3 linked regions of the Arabidopsis thaliana genome follow. Each later gene encodes a partner of the first gene's protein in a complex. Each region holds a gene or a part of one and is shown on either strand. Other genes may lie near its edges. The genes, in order: VPS54, AT1G71300 and POK.

Region 1 (5,406 bases):
CATCCAATTACTTCTTCTTGAAAATTGTTTCAGAGTAGCCAATTCACTTGAAACTGATTCTGCAATTCACTTAAGAGATGGAACCAAGAATAAGATAGATTAAAAACATGATTCGACCTCTGTTTGAAACAAACCTTGACTGAAATCAGCTTTCTGAAATTAGTTATTTCCAGAGATGAGGCTTTGCTGGCTCCATGTAACTAAGAATAGAAGTTACAGAACAATCGTAATTACCAAAAGAGACGTCTTCCTTTATTCTTTTCCTGTTCAGTAGCTCTTCTTCTTGTACACATAAACGGCCTCTCTTGGACACAACAACTTTATCCAAGGCGGTTTCGTTTAGTTCTGTATCTTTTCCAGATATCTCTTTCTCAAGATTATTCTCGTGTAACCCATGCAACCTACAATCATTCTCATCTGGTGCATATAACAAGCTCATCCCGCATTTCACCACCTCACAGCAATCTAGTTTTCTTTTGGCTCTGCCATCAGTAACAAAAAATTTGAACGAGGCTGTGGTGTTGCAACATCTATTGAGATCATCGTTTTTCTTGGCATGGTAACAGTTGCTATAACTGATGAACACATGATCAGAGCTAAGTCTTCTTGATTCTTCATGGCTAGACGATCCACACTGCTCTTTCCATCCCCCAAGATTACATGTAAAGCTGATGTAATCACCGTCTTCGTTTCTGAACTTGCACTTGCATATCACGGAGAACCGGCTGGTTCTATCTTCATAGTCCTTGAAAGAGACAACCGTGCAGAGAGAAAGACCAATGAATTTATCGTCGCACCAGTGTGAAGGCAGGTTGGTTTCCATTGAAGATCCAATTCTCTGATGGCGGAACCATAGTGGCAAATCATTCCCTGGAAAACTTACAGCAGATAAAGGTTCCAAAACTAGTTCCTGGAAAAACCATTAAGGATAGCAATGTCACTGGAATAATAACAGAATAACCAGAGATTGGACCTTATGATTAAGTTGAAAAGATCTATTCGCCAGTATTTGACTCTTGAGCTGAGTATGAGCCACAATTTTTTCTTGTGCATCTCGGTTTAGCTTGTAGCAATCCGTGAATACGAAAGTAGAATGGGTCTTTTCAGCTATCACTAGAAGCGTCATGGGTTTTGAAACTGTTTCGAGTGAGATACAGCCATGAACATCCAAGTACTGATTTGATGGAAGCACTGGAAGAGAAATGAGATTTTTGCAATTCTTTAAGTAAAGAGATTTGAGATGATGAAGTTTCTTGATGCTTCCTGGTAGATTCTCGATACTGTTTCGGCTCAAGCATAAAGACTGCAGCGAGGATAAGCAGCTAAAATTGTCCGGGAATTTGTACAGATTACAATCTGTGAGATACATGTCTGATAACTGAGAGCAACCTGAGAAAGGCAGCAACTCCAAACCTCTGAAATCTTGGACTTTAGATCCACCAAACGAAAACAGCTTGAGATTACTCATACACATTGTTCTGGGAGTTTGTTTGATGGATGTATCATCCATTAGCAGAATCTCTAAGCTTCCCATGTTTGTTTGGGGATTCCATGTTTTACCAGATGCCCATGTTACATGCAGACAGGAGACTGCAACTTTGGTATTACAGTATGTGTAAATTCCATCATCCGAGTGAGAGAGAAACCCATGTCCTTGAGACCTCCTTAAGCTCCAAAGGCCTCCCTTCACGGACGGTGAGCCATTTCTTAAACTAGCAGTAGCAATCTAGCAGACGTTAGTTTTCTTTGCTTCAAACCTCATTCTTTTGAACTAACCAACACCAAAAGCTTGTTCGACTTCAAACTGAACTCTGTTTTTCTAATCTCATTACTATCATCTGTGTTTATCGCTTGCTCAATTTTTGCTCCAATCTTTCGACATGGAGAACCCGTGTGTACCTTATATTTTTACAGTGGAAACTGCAGCTCCGGTCCCACTTGTATCTTTGATCATCCGATGTTGGTATCAACACACAAGAACATATCTTCCATGGCTTCCGAGACACAGCACTTGAATCCGCTAGGATTGTCCTCTTCACTTGGGGCTTCATCAAGTGATATTGTGGAAGCATCAGCCAAGAAACCCAGAATATACAAGAACACTTCTTCCGTAGCGTCTGATACACCACACTCGAATCCATTAAGATTTTCTTCTCCAATTGGAGATTCATCAAGTGAGCTTGTGGAAAGATCAACTAAAGAAACTGTAATCAACAAGAACACACCTTCCATGGCTTCTGAGACTCTGCATGCTAATCCACTAAGATTTTATTCTTCCATTAGAGAGTCATCAAGTGATTGAAGTGAACTTGTGGAAACATCAGATTAGAAACCCATAGTGCATAAGAACACACCTTCCATGGCTTCTGAGACACCGCACTTGAAGTCGGTAGGACTTTCTTCTTCGCTTGGACCTTTATCAAGTGAGCTTGTGGAAGCATCAACTGTGTCTGAAGTCACACAAGAAACCGTTAGTAGAGGTGTCATTGAAGTGAAGACTTAAAATTTTTGTGGTTAAACAAAATGTTGTATTTTAAAATATTGTTCTTCTAATATATATTTTCTAATATTAACATATGCTTGATCCAAAAATTTCCATGAGTAATATATGAAAACAACATAATTAAGTAAAAAAAATACAAGGCATTTTTCCAAATTAACTCAAACAAAAATCCATAGGATATTTTTCAAAAGTATAAACAAAACAAGGCATTTTTCCAAATTAACTAATTAGAATATTACAAATTTTGTTAGAGAACTATTTGATTTATTGAATTGAAAAGATATTTGTAATATAGTAATATTAATTTTACTAGTAATGAAAATCAGTTATTCATAATTACAGAATCAAACTGACATTTATCCTTTTCTGTAGATGACGTGGATACCTAATGCACCGTCGATTAAATCTGCGTAGTGAAACCCCGCACTGCTCACAGCACCACCTCTCTCGAACCATCGAGTCTCGAACCCAGAGAGGACTTTCCTCAGTGAGTCCTCCGTTCCTTAGCTTCTCTTCCAGATCCAAACTCTCACCAAACTTTCTCACAACACACACACAATTCGATTCGATCCACACTCTTAAAATCCCAAAGATCTCTCTGATTTTGAAATTCGATTCTTCCCCAGATCAACTTGTGAATTTTTCCACAATTTTGGTTCATGATTTTGATTTCGTGAAGGACTTATGGATTCACACCCTTCCCTAATGGGAAGGTCCATTACCAATTCGAACCGATCGAGCTTAGATCTTGGTCGTCCTTCTTCGTCTTCTTCATCTTCTCCTTCACCGTTAACCAAATCGATCTCCGATGCAAGTAGTCAAAGTCTCTCTTCGATCCTTAACAATCCACACGGAGGTAAGTCTGGTGTTTATGGTTCCGATGCATCTTGGGTTGGTTGGTGGTCTTCATCGACATTTGTAGCTCCAGCTGAGTTTGCGCCTGTTGCTTCAACGAAGCTCCCTGGTTCGGAGCTAACCAGATCCGACTTCCATGGCTACGTTTCTTCGATCTCTGAGTCTCATGGTAGATTTGAGGATATTAGGAAGCATACTAGGGAAGAGAGCTGTGGGTTTGATCAGGAGAGCCATGTATCGGGTTTAGCTGCGTGTTTGCGTGAGGTTCCTTCGCTTTACTTTAAGGAGGATTTTGCTCTTGAGGACGGAGCTACATTTCGTTCTGCTTGCCCTTTCTCGAGCCTTAATGAGAATCTAGCGCTTCAAGAGAAGTTGTCACAGTATCTTGATGTGGTGGAGCTGCATCTTGTGAAGGAGATCTCTGTGAGGTCTGATTCGTTTTTTGAGGCTCAAGGACAGTTACAGGATTTGAATGTGAAGATTGTTGAGGGTTGTAGTAGGATTCGTGAGTTGAAAGAGACTATTCGGCTCCTGGATAGGAATTTGGTAGATTCAGCTCGACAGATTCAAGAGCTGAGCTCAACTAGGATTAATATGCTGGAGCTGCAACGTAAATTAAGACTTATTTTGTATGTTAACCAAGCTCTCTCTGCACTCAAATTGGTAATTTTTCTTACTGATTTGCTTAGAGTAGTGTCAATGTAGATACTTTTTTGTTTTTCCTATCTTTTATTGATGGAAGTTTGATTCTTTATTGTTCAGCTTGTTGCGTCCGCAGATTGTGCTGGAGCTTTGGATATAACTGACGATCTCCAGAACTTGCTGGTAAGTTCATCTGTGATTGATGTTGGATACTTTTAGACGATTAGGGTGCTCTTTCTTTAGAATGTAAAATGGATTCCTGTCTTTTTTAGGCTGGGGATGAGCTTACTGGTCTATACTGCTTCCGCCATCTTCGGGATCATGTTACTAGTTCCATAGATTCCATAAACAGGTGTGTCTCTTTTCAGGCTATGATAACTGACTATAATAGGCTGTATTTAGTCTGCCTGTAATGCTCTTTTAGGATGGATTGATTGGGAACAATGAGAGTAAGTCGGATCTTAACTGTGCAAAGTACCTTACCAAGTTTTTAGAGAAGTGGTGAAGATGTGAATTATTGACTATGTTTTTGAGTCTCGCTTTCGAGCGTCTTGAAATTCTTAGATAGTGAAGGCAGTCGATATTTGAAAAATGTTTGCAGGGTTTTGCAGCTCTGGTTTTTTTTTACCCTTCTACGTCCTTTTATTGACTTCTGGTTTATATATAGCAGATAGTCTCTCTATAATTTGCGAAGTCGCTGTTTCTTTGTAGATCAACCCTTTCATGTTACCCGTGTGCTTGGGCCATTTGCTGAGATTAAGTTTTATAACTGCCAATTGCGGTGGATAGTTTTACCGTCTGATGACTATGCATGCATCCAGGCTTGTAGCATTCTATTAGTAATCAATCATAACTTCTGAACTCTTAAACTTTCCCCTTAAGTTCTTGCATGCGGTAATGCCTTGCTGGCGGAATTACCCTTATTATGATAAATCTTGGTTTGCATTGAAATGTACTATGTTCGTCATTATTTTGATACTTCATTCATATTTTGTTACCTTCAAAAGGTGTAGAACAGTATACAACCTGTAGGCATTTGTATCAGTTAAATGTTTAGTATATTGATTTTCTTTGGTAGTGAATTGTTCCGTGAAAATTTTACTATAATGTAAGTTCACTTTCTATATGCAGTTATCTACCAGTCCTGTTTTCTCTATTATTTTCTTTTATTTGTTTATTTGGTCTAGTGCCTGATGGTTCATTGATTTTTTCTTTGTAGTATTCTCACTTCAGAATTCATGCGTATCTCCATACATGATACTGGGGAGATAGATGTACTGATTTTATCTGCAGCAAATATACGGGGATCCATTTCATCTAACGGGAATACCGGCGAAGAAGTAAGTCTCATCCGGTACTGAATAGAAGATCCTAAACTGTGAGAAGTGGTAGATTATCAGAAAAAG
Region 2 (5,406 bases), on another chromosome or scaffold:
TATAAAAATTTGTAACAACTATTCTGACTACAAAGTTTGGTATAGAAAAAGGAGGAAAGATTAAAACTTACCCGCAAATATTTCATAAAATATAGACTGTTCACCAAAGAAATCTTCACAAAAGATATACCTGTCAAAATGAAAACAAATGACGTTAACAAGGGGGTGGGTGGTGAGAAACAATAACACAAATAGAAAAGAGGAAAGATCAACAGAACTCAGAAGTAGCTGTATCCATAAGTAGCTTGTGCAAGCTCCTGAAGAGCACTTCATAAGGATACTTGAGAGAGCTGGCTTCGGCTATGTGCGGGATCAAAGCAGGTTGATCAATTTCCTACATCATACATAGTGAAACTTAAGTCTTTTAACAAACTCTTGCGATATAATACCTCCAAGTCAACGATAAGAAATACAGGAAAATATCAAGTGAACGTGGAACTAACGAATTCGCCAAATCATGCTCAATGGTCTGAAAAAATATAATCACTGGATAAATGATGAATACCTTTATAATTTGTATCCTCTCACCCAAAGCAAAAACGGCACAACGGTTCTTTAGTGGCTCCTTAGATCTTGAGAAGAGGCCAGTGCTTCTAGTGTCCACACCAATCAAGTCGTTTGATGTGGCTATATCTAACTGTAGTTTCTCAAATGCTTGAATATAAGACTGAAAATGTGCACTTAGCACCTGAAACCAGATCTCACATTATATTAGGTGTAACATTAACAACTGAAAGCCTAACCCATAACATAAAGCTTGTTCAATCTAACCTGCATACATCATCTAATCATTATAGCTCTAGTGAGAATACAAGAAAAGAAGAAGTACCTTGTTCATGGTATCTATGTATGCAGCGCGGACATCCATAAACACTTCTTTTCCATGTTCTTTGAGGAAGGAGATAATATACCTATGATCAAAATGTAATTTGGTAAATGAAGTACGTAAAAAAACCAAAGTAAAAGGGTGCATGACTCACTTGTACTTTAAAAACACACTCTGTTGAAGAATCTGAATGTTTGTTTTGGGTTTCCTCAGGGCTATAAGCTTCTGAACAATAAAATCATAAACCTGCAAAACGGAAATAAATGAGAATTGCTCCCTCGACGTGCATGCCCTTGGAAGCATTGGAACAGAACAAACAAAGACATAATTGTTACGAATCAAGTAACAGAGAAAGTAGATTAACAACCTTGGAAATAGCTTTTTGCCGGAGCTTTTCAAGCTCAGGCTCTACATCTTTTAATGCTTTGGAACTTTTAACTGCTTGATCTGTTTCTACAAATTTCAGCTTCTTGCTCAGAATTCCAAGTGTTTTGATATACTCTTCATTCACCTGAATACAGAAAATAGCAAGACTATCAGATTAGAAATAAAAATCCTACCAAAGCAACAATTACATAGAAAGAGGGAATTTGAAAAGATACCTCTCCATCAACAATTACATGAATCATCTTTGGTGGTACTATAAAGTCTTCGACAAATTTTGCTAGCTTTGATTCAGTCACCTGTTCATATAGGAGAGCTTGTTTTGATGAGTAACACACATAAGAAAATACCACCGAGGTTGAAGGAGAAAGAGATAATACTAATAGTGGTTTCTGATATGACTATATACCCTTCGATTTTTCAGTCTCAAACCCATGTCCATTGAATTTTCTTGAAGAATCTTTATGTCTGAACTTATAGAACCAATCTCTTCCTGAAAGAAACGAAGAAGCAAAGTGCGCATTCAGATTAAGGAGAAAGAATCACAAACTATATAAATTGTCAAATACCTGAAATCCACTGAGAAGAGTTTCCATTTGTGACAAGATGCAGTTACAGTCACGAATCTGATCGTGAAGTGAGACTAGTTTATCACTTTCTTTTATGTAATCCTGAGTATTAATGGAGGGTAGAAACATTAGTAAATTACGATATTAAACTTGTACAAGGAACAAAATACGTTACATGAAAAGTAGAAAACAACGAGTGCCACAATGTATCACAGGTAAGAGAATAGCAACCTCAACTGAATCCAATTCAACCTTCCGTAGATTGTTTTCAACACCTTTGGCATATTCTCTAAGTTTGTCACCACTGGACAGTATATTGGCAACAACCTGAACTTTCACAAGAAAAATAGCCTTGGATCAAAACTTCTATCCATGTACAGAGTAAGTCAAAACGGAGTAGATATGATACTGGAAAAAACTTTGTTCACTTTCAGTTTTTTTTTCTCACCTCGTCACTTTCACATTCTTCAAGTTCTTGTTGAAGCCCTTCCAATGATATATCCTCACTGCCCAACAAAAAGAGTAATGTCGATTTTATGAATGAGACAGAACCAAAGGAGAGCATTCTAAATCAGAACAATAAAGAGAAGCAGAAACTTATGTCAAACTCGAATTAAGGTAAACAGAAAAGACATGAGAATGTTACCTTCTTGAATCCTCTTCAAAAGCCAAGTCTCCAAAGAATGCTCCTAATTCAGATTCATGTTTCTCAAGATTACTGAAGTCGTCCATAGCTTGGCCCTATGTTTTTAGATAGACACAAACTTCGATAAGAGACTTGATATGAGCCTGTGATTTCGGTTTCGTGCAGTTTGTTAACGTGAGAAAGATTTTAGCAAGCTTCCTTTTAACGCAAGTCGCTCTTAGAGAGAGTTAGGGTTAATTGTTTGATTTCTTATTGATCATAAAGGGACTTTATATACAGACAAGGAACAATCCAACTTAAAGCCTTACAATATATCATTACTAGAAATCCTAATTGAAAAGGGAAAAACCTCAAAACCAATCTTAATCATGAGAAAAACGAAAAATCACCAAAAACCCTAGTCGATGGTAACGTTATGTTTTTTTAGTTAGAAGAGGAAGAGCAAAGAGAATAGACCCAAACTTCGATGAGAGATCGAACCCGCAAAAGAAGTAAAACAACCATAACAATAACATCATGATCCAAAAGGCTTTAGAACTCAGCAAATCAAATTTAGAGCGAAAACGAAGTGCCAGCTTACCAATGAGTTAGTGGGCATGTTGCTGTACAAATTCTGGAGAAACACCAATGGTTATAACAATAGTCAAATCTTAATCTTAGTATATATATATACAAAATTTGAGAATTGATTTGAAGGCCACGGAGCCACTGGCGATATAGATGAGAGGATACGCAAATACCAAGGAGGTCTATATTATTTTTGTGATACCAACAAATGTCTATTTTTATTTTATTTTCTTACAGATATTGTCGAGAAAAAAGAAGTTAAGATCTCCAAATTTTAATAGATTTTGTAAAAACTCAAAATCTGATTCTCGCATATATATAACAACCTAACTCTTGTTCTTCACATAAGCCAAGTACTATCAACATGATCCAAGAAGGTTCGAACATCATGAAGCTGATCTCTAGCTACACCTTCAATCGTAAATCTTCTGAGATTTTGTGTGACTGTATCATAATAAACCACATAGAATGATCTCTCAATCACAGAGTCTTGAGCGAACACAAGTTCTCCAGTTCCAATGGTACCTTTGAAGAAAAACTCCATATTTCCAACATGTTGTTCCCAATGAGGAATCTCAATGCAGTTTCTCCACCAAGTTCCATCAGTTTCGTTCCTTACCCACAATTCAAATACTCCATTGCCATTCGGTTCTTTCACAATACCAAAGTCAAACTCAGAGTCATCTACTAAGGCAACTTCCCCATTGTAGTTCACCAATCTCCAACGATGATCAATCTTGACTTCCTCAGGCAATTCAATGACGCTAAACTCTTCAGAACTCACGTTGAAGCTCACTACCACAGATTTGTCACTATTGGACTCATCAGCTCCATAATACAAGAAACCTCCTTTACATAGTCCTTCAGTAACTGGTGAATGATCATGCTTACATGTGATCACTCTCCAAGAATTAGATTCTTCACCTGATCCCACCGTCATTGTGTATACCTGATATTCCCTAGAACGCCTACCATCTCCGTACTGTGATATTACACAGTGGTTCCTCTTCTTGATAAACAGAGTGAAACACACCATCACGTCCGAACGGGGAAGTTGATGAACGACAATCGAGGCCTTGTCGTCATCGATCGGCGCAAGTAAGATCTCTGAATGCTCTCGAGCGGATTAAAGATGCCAACTTCTTTTAGACAAGATACATTTCACCAATGATTTCAGAGGTAACCGTGACAGAATATCTGTTTGTAGATCTCTGAATGCTCTCCGAGTTTGTTACTGTCAAATGTCAATGTTTAGAGGTATTCTTTTAAGCAATGACTAGAGCTTTACTTTAACAATGGGCCGAGAGATGTATCTCTTCTCTTAGTGGGCTTTAGTAGAAACTGGACCAAAAACTACCTAATTCGAACAAAATTTTGCTGTAGGTCTAAAAAATAAAGCTGGAGTGAGCAACAAGCAAGCGGCGGCCGTCATGGATTCATCGCCACCGAACACTATCATCGAGGAGGCGCCGCCGCGTTTCTCTGAACTCAAACCTCCGCTCTCAGAAGATATCATCGAGGCGCTTGACCGGTCCGGTTTCGAGGTCTGCACTCCGGTTCAGGCCGAGACGATCCCTTTCCTCTGCAGCCACAAGGATGTTGTCGTCGACGCAGCCACTGGTTCTGGAAAAACCCTAGCTTTCCTCCTTCCCTTCATAGAGATTATCCGTCGATCCAACTCCTACCCTCCGAAGCCACACCAGGTAAGGAGAATTAGCCGAATATCAAGAGTAGTAGCTTATGCTATATGTTAACAATTTCAATCTCAGGTAATGGGGGTGATTATATCGCCAACGAGAGAGCTATCAGCGCAGATACATAAGGTGGCAAGAGCCGTTCGTCTCGACTTTGCCAAATGTGAACTCTGTCCTGCTTGTTGGAGGTCGAGAGGTGGAAGCTGACATGAATACTCTCGAAGAAGAAGGAGCCAATCTCTTGATCGGCACCCCTGGAAGGCTTTCAGATATGATGAAACGAATGGAGTTTCTGGATTTTCGAAATCTCGAGATTCTTATCTTAGATGAGGCCGATAGACTTTTGGATATGGGGTTCCAGAAGCAGGTCAATTACATTATATCTCGCTTGCCAAAGCAACGTAGGACTGGCCTCTTTTCAGCTACACAAACACAAGCTGTTGCAGACCTGGCCAAGGCTGGCCTTAGGAATCCTGTGAGAGTTAGATCGGGAGCTTAGGAACGTTACGGAAGTTAGATTGGGAGATGAGTCAAAGTCGAAAACGCCTTCTGGTCTGTATTGTGAGGTATTATTATTGTAAGGTCAATATTTATATACGTATATGTGTTTCGGGATAGTAAGTTTATTTCTTCTTCGTGCCTCTGCAGTATTTGAAATGCGAAGCAGATCAAAAGTCATCTCAACTAGTGCATCTCCTGATCGAGAACAAAAATAAAAAG
Region 3 (3,600 bases), on another chromosome or scaffold:
AGTTTTTGGTATCAAGTAACAGAGAAAGTAGATCAATAACCTTGGAAATAGCTTTCTGCCGAAGCTTTTCGAGCTCAGGCTCTACATCTTTTAACGCTTTGGAACTTTTAACTGCCTGATCTGCTTCTACAAATTTTAGCTTCTTACTCAGAATTTCAAGCGTTTTCATATACTCTTCATTCACCTGAATAAGGAAAATAATACGACTATCAGATTAGCAATAAAAATACCCTCAGCAATCCAACCTAGGCTTAAATGCACCACTATGGTTTTACAAAAAAAACACGTACTCAGGGGACATAAAGATAGGACTAAATGGTGTAAGAAAACAAAATGAAGAAAATTTAATAAATTTTAGTATTGCACATAGGGGAAGCATATACCAAGCTTAACCAGAAAATGTTGTTTTTCTATTTTTCCTCCATGTTTCAGATTACAACATATGCACCAAATCAGTAATTCTTATAGCACCAGAAACAAAAAGAAAAATTAGACATGTATACAACATGACGAGATCCTACAAAATTCCTACAAATCTCCAACCCTACCAAAGCTACATAAAAAGTGAATTTGAAAAATACCTCTCCGTCAACAATTACATCTATCATCTTTGGTGGCACTATAATGTCTTCGACAAATTTTGCTAGCTTTGATTCAGCCACCTATTCAAATAGAAGAGTTCATTTGGATGAGTCACGAGTGAAAGCAGCAAGAGATAATACCAATAGTGGTTTCTGATTAGCTATACCCTGCGGTTTTTCAATCTCAAACCCATGTCCATTGACTTTTCTTGAAGAATCTTTATGTCTGAACTTATAGAACCAATCTCTTCCTGAAAGAAAAGAAGCAAAGTGCACATTTAGATTACCAGGAAAAAATATATGTATTTCAAAGTAAAAAAATTCCTCCCATTAAGCAAAAGTCAGAATAAGGAGAAAGAAGCACATACATACACACAAATTATATAAATGTCTAATTTTCAAATACCTGAAATCCACTGAGAAGAGTTTCCATTTGTGACAGGATGCTGTCACAGTCACGAATCTGATCGTGAAGTGAGACTAGGTTGTCACTTTCCTTTATGTAATCCTGAGTATTCATGGAATGTAAAGCATTTAAGTTAGTTACTTACGATATCAAAGAAATTCCCGAACTTATAGACGGAAGTACATAAAAAGTAGAAAACAACAAGTGCCACAATGTAGCACAGGTAGAGAATAACAACCTCGATTGAATCCAATTCAACCTTGCGTAGATTGTTTTCAACCCCTTTTGCATATTCTCTAAGTTTGTCACCACTAGACAGTATATTGGCAACAACCTGACATTTCACACAAACAAGATAGAAAGGACATCATATCCATGGATCTAACATTCTATGATCAATCCATGTACTCCAAAGTAACTCAAATGAGAGTAGAAACAATACTTCGAAAAAGAAGAACCGAGGTGCTAGCTTTATAAGTTTGATCTCAGTTAAGTGAATAACTTACCTCATCACTTTCACATTCTTCAAGTTCTTGTTGAAGCCCTTCCAATGAAATATCCTCACTGCCAAACAAATCAAAGGAGAGCATTCTAATCAGAAGAACAAAGAGAAGCAGAAACATATGTTATAGTCGAATTAAGATACAAAACATGAGAACGTTACCTGCCTGAATCTTCTTCAAAAGCCAAGTCTCCAACAAATGCTCCTAAATCAAATCCAAGTTTCTCATGATTACTAAAGTCCCCCATAGTTTGGCCCTATGAATTTCAGATAGAAGAGCAAAGCGAATTAGACAAGAGATCATAAAGGATCCATGATTAAGGCTAGAAGATCACGAATGCAAAAAAAATGAAGTACCAATGCGTCAATGGAAATGTCGGACATCTTCCTAATGAGATTAAGAGTTGAAAGATCTTCAACTAGAAAACGAAATCAGAATCCTCGAAATCAGTTTGAGTCCGCCATTAGAGAGTCTTCTTCTTCTTCTTCTTCTTCTTCTTCTTCTTCTTCTTCTTCTTCAGCTTCACCTTTCTCAGATTCGTTCGTCTTCTCTAATCTGATTTTTAATTTCCCAATCAACAATAAAGGCCCATTGGGCCGTTAAAAGACTTATATATAAAACAAACGGGTTAAAATATGGGTCGCCCGATAAAACCCGTTTTGATAAATCATAAAACCTCAGAAGTCGGAAGACCTCAAGTGATGCTTTTTACTCGAGACAGAAGAAGATGATGAAGCAAGCCCGCTCTTTGCTCTCCAGGTTACTTCAGTTCCTCTCAAAATTCAGATTTTAGATTTCATTACTCTTAAAATGGCTTCTCTGGGTTGGTTTGTTTTTGTTAAAGCAGGAGCCTTTGTGACCAAAGTAAGTCACTTTTCGAAGCTTCGACGTTGCGTGGTTTTGCAAGCTGGTCAAATTCTTCAACCCCTGGACGTGGATTCCCTGGTAAAGGTAAGAACTTGGTTTGTTTCCGTTTCGTCAGTTTAAGTGTACTTGCCCTAATTTTGTTTGCTTGATTTGAGAAGATGCCGCAAAGCCTAGTGGTCGATTGTTCGCACCTTATTCTATCTTCAAAGGAAAAGCTGCTCTCTCTGTTGAACCTGTTCTTCCCAGTTTCACTGAAATCGATGTAAGCCCAAAATCCATTTCTTTTTAGTTTTGTGTGTTCTCTTTAAAGGCTTCTTTTAGATTCTCATTACTTACTGTGAGTACAATTGTTTAGTCGGGAAATCTTCGGATAGATCGTCGTGGATCCTTAATGATGACTTTTATGCCTGCTATTGGTGAGCGTAAGTACGACTGGGAAAAGAAACAGGTATTGATCTTTTTCACACTCTCTATCTTCTTCACTTGTCTCTTCTTTCTCCTCTGATAAATTTGGTTTGTTTCCTACATTATTGCAGAAATTTGCTTTGTCACCTACTGAAGTTGGATCCTTAATTAGCATGGGTTCCAAAGACAGCTCCGAGTTTTTCCATGACCCTTCCATGAAATCAAGGTTTGTCTTTTTTTGCTTCAATACATTATATTTTTATCGCAGCATTTTCATGTTCTGACATAGACTTGTCTTTGACTCCTCAGTAATGCTGGTCAAGTCAGGAAGTCACTGTCAGTTAAGCCCCACGCAGATGGTAGCGGCTACTTCATCTCATTGAGTAAGGCTTCTATCAAATTAACATGGATAATCAGTACTGAAATACTTAGTTATGGGAGCTTTCTGTTTAGTAAATTTAGAAGCTTGCACTTGTATTAGTTTTGTAATATGGCGATAACAGTTTTCGCACAGAATAGCTGTCTTATAACAATAGGAATGCTGAATTCTTAATGCTGTATAAACACTTACCTTCTGCGGTTTTGTTGCAGGCGTTAACAATAGCATCCTCAAAACCAATGACTATTTTGTGGTTCCTGTCACAAAAGCTGAATTTGCAGTGATGAAGACAGCTTTTAGTGTAAGATAAGATTTTTATTCTGCGTTCTCTATATTCTGTTACTATTATATCAGTTCGAGAACCAAAAACATTGACTAGAAAAACCAAGGGCATTGCTTCTCTGTCAGTTTTAGCACATGAATCTGGATCAAGTATATATTCTTCAAGGGATATTGGTG

The links.
Region 2: VPS54 (region 1) and AT1G71300 share a complex: the UniProt entries of both Arabidopsis thaliana proteins name them as parts of the golgi-associated retrograde protein (GARP) complex.
Region 3: VPS54 (region 1) and POK share a complex: the UniProt entries of both Arabidopsis thaliana proteins name them as parts of the golgi-associated retrograde protein (GARP) complex.

What each region holds. Positions count from the first base shown.
Region 1 is NC_003075.7:10,612,830-10,618,235, forward strand, and holds the start of VPS54 (VPS54), read left to right. Parts: upstream 1-2,866; 5' UTR 2,867-3,187; coding exon 3,188-4,021; intron 4,022-4,120; coding exon 4,121-4,183; intron 4,184-4,272; coding exon 4,273-4,352; intron 4,353-5,219; coding exon 5,220-5,340; intron 5,341-5,406. Other genes in the region: AT4G19470 (Leucine-rich repeat (LRR) family protein), read right to left, coding at 164-910, 962-1,371, 1,414-1,510; AT4G19480 (uncharacterized protein), read right to left, coding at 1,951-2,204, 2,355-2,487; AT4G19485 (uncharacterized protein), read left to right, coding at 1,991-2,294, 2,340-2,503. UniProt on the Arabidopsis thaliana protein: Acts as a component of the GARP complex that is involved in retrograde transport from early and late endosomes to the trans-Golgi network (TGN). The GARP complex facilitates tethering as well as SNARE complex assembly at the Golgi.
Region 2 is NC_003070.9:26,871,169-26,876,574, reverse strand, and holds the start of AT1G71300 (Vps52 / Sac2 family), read right to left. Parts: upstream 2,512-5,406; coding exon 2,426-2,511; intron 2,346-2,425; coding exon 2,228-2,345; intron 2,107-2,227; coding exon 1,993-2,106; intron 1,882-1,992; coding exon 1,780-1,881; intron 1,704-1,779; coding exon 1,620-1,703; intron 1,510-1,619; coding exon 1,429-1,509; intron 1,338-1,428; coding exon 1,194-1,337; intron 1,073-1,193; coding exon 981-1,072; intron 912-980; coding exon 830-911; intron 689-829; coding exon 506-688; intron 335-505; coding exon 219-334; intron 131-218; coding exon 72-130; intron 1-71. Other genes in the region: AT1G71290 (F-box associated ubiquitination effector family protein), read right to left, coding at 3,333-3,932; AT1G71280 (DEA(D/H)-box RNA helicase family protein), read left to right, coding at 4,423-4,695, 4,762-4,849, 4,875-5,161, 5,335-5,406. UniProt on the Arabidopsis thaliana protein: May be involved in retrograde transport of early and late endosomes to the late Golgi.
Region 3 is NC_003070.9:26,862,009-26,865,608, reverse strand, and holds the start of POK (Vps52 / Sac2 family), read right to left. Parts: upstream 2,023-3,600; 5' UTR 1,874-2,022; coding exon 1,847-1,873; intron 1,747-1,846; coding exon 1,652-1,746; intron 1,552-1,651; coding exon 1,494-1,551; intron 1,322-1,493; coding exon 1,226-1,321; intron 1,090-1,225; coding exon 988-1,089; intron 833-987; coding exon 749-832; intron 663-748; coding exon 582-662; intron 185-581; coding exon 41-184; intron 1-40. Other genes in the region: ATWHY2 (WHIRLY 2), read left to right, coding at 2,218-2,249, 2,338-2,441, 2,516-2,619, 2,713-2,805, 2,894-2,988, 3,072-3,145, 3,354-3,442. UniProt on the Arabidopsis thaliana protein: Acts as a component of the GARP complex that is involved in retrograde transport from early and late endosomes to the trans-Golgi network (TGN). The GARP complex facilitates tethering as well as SNARE complex assembly at the Golgi.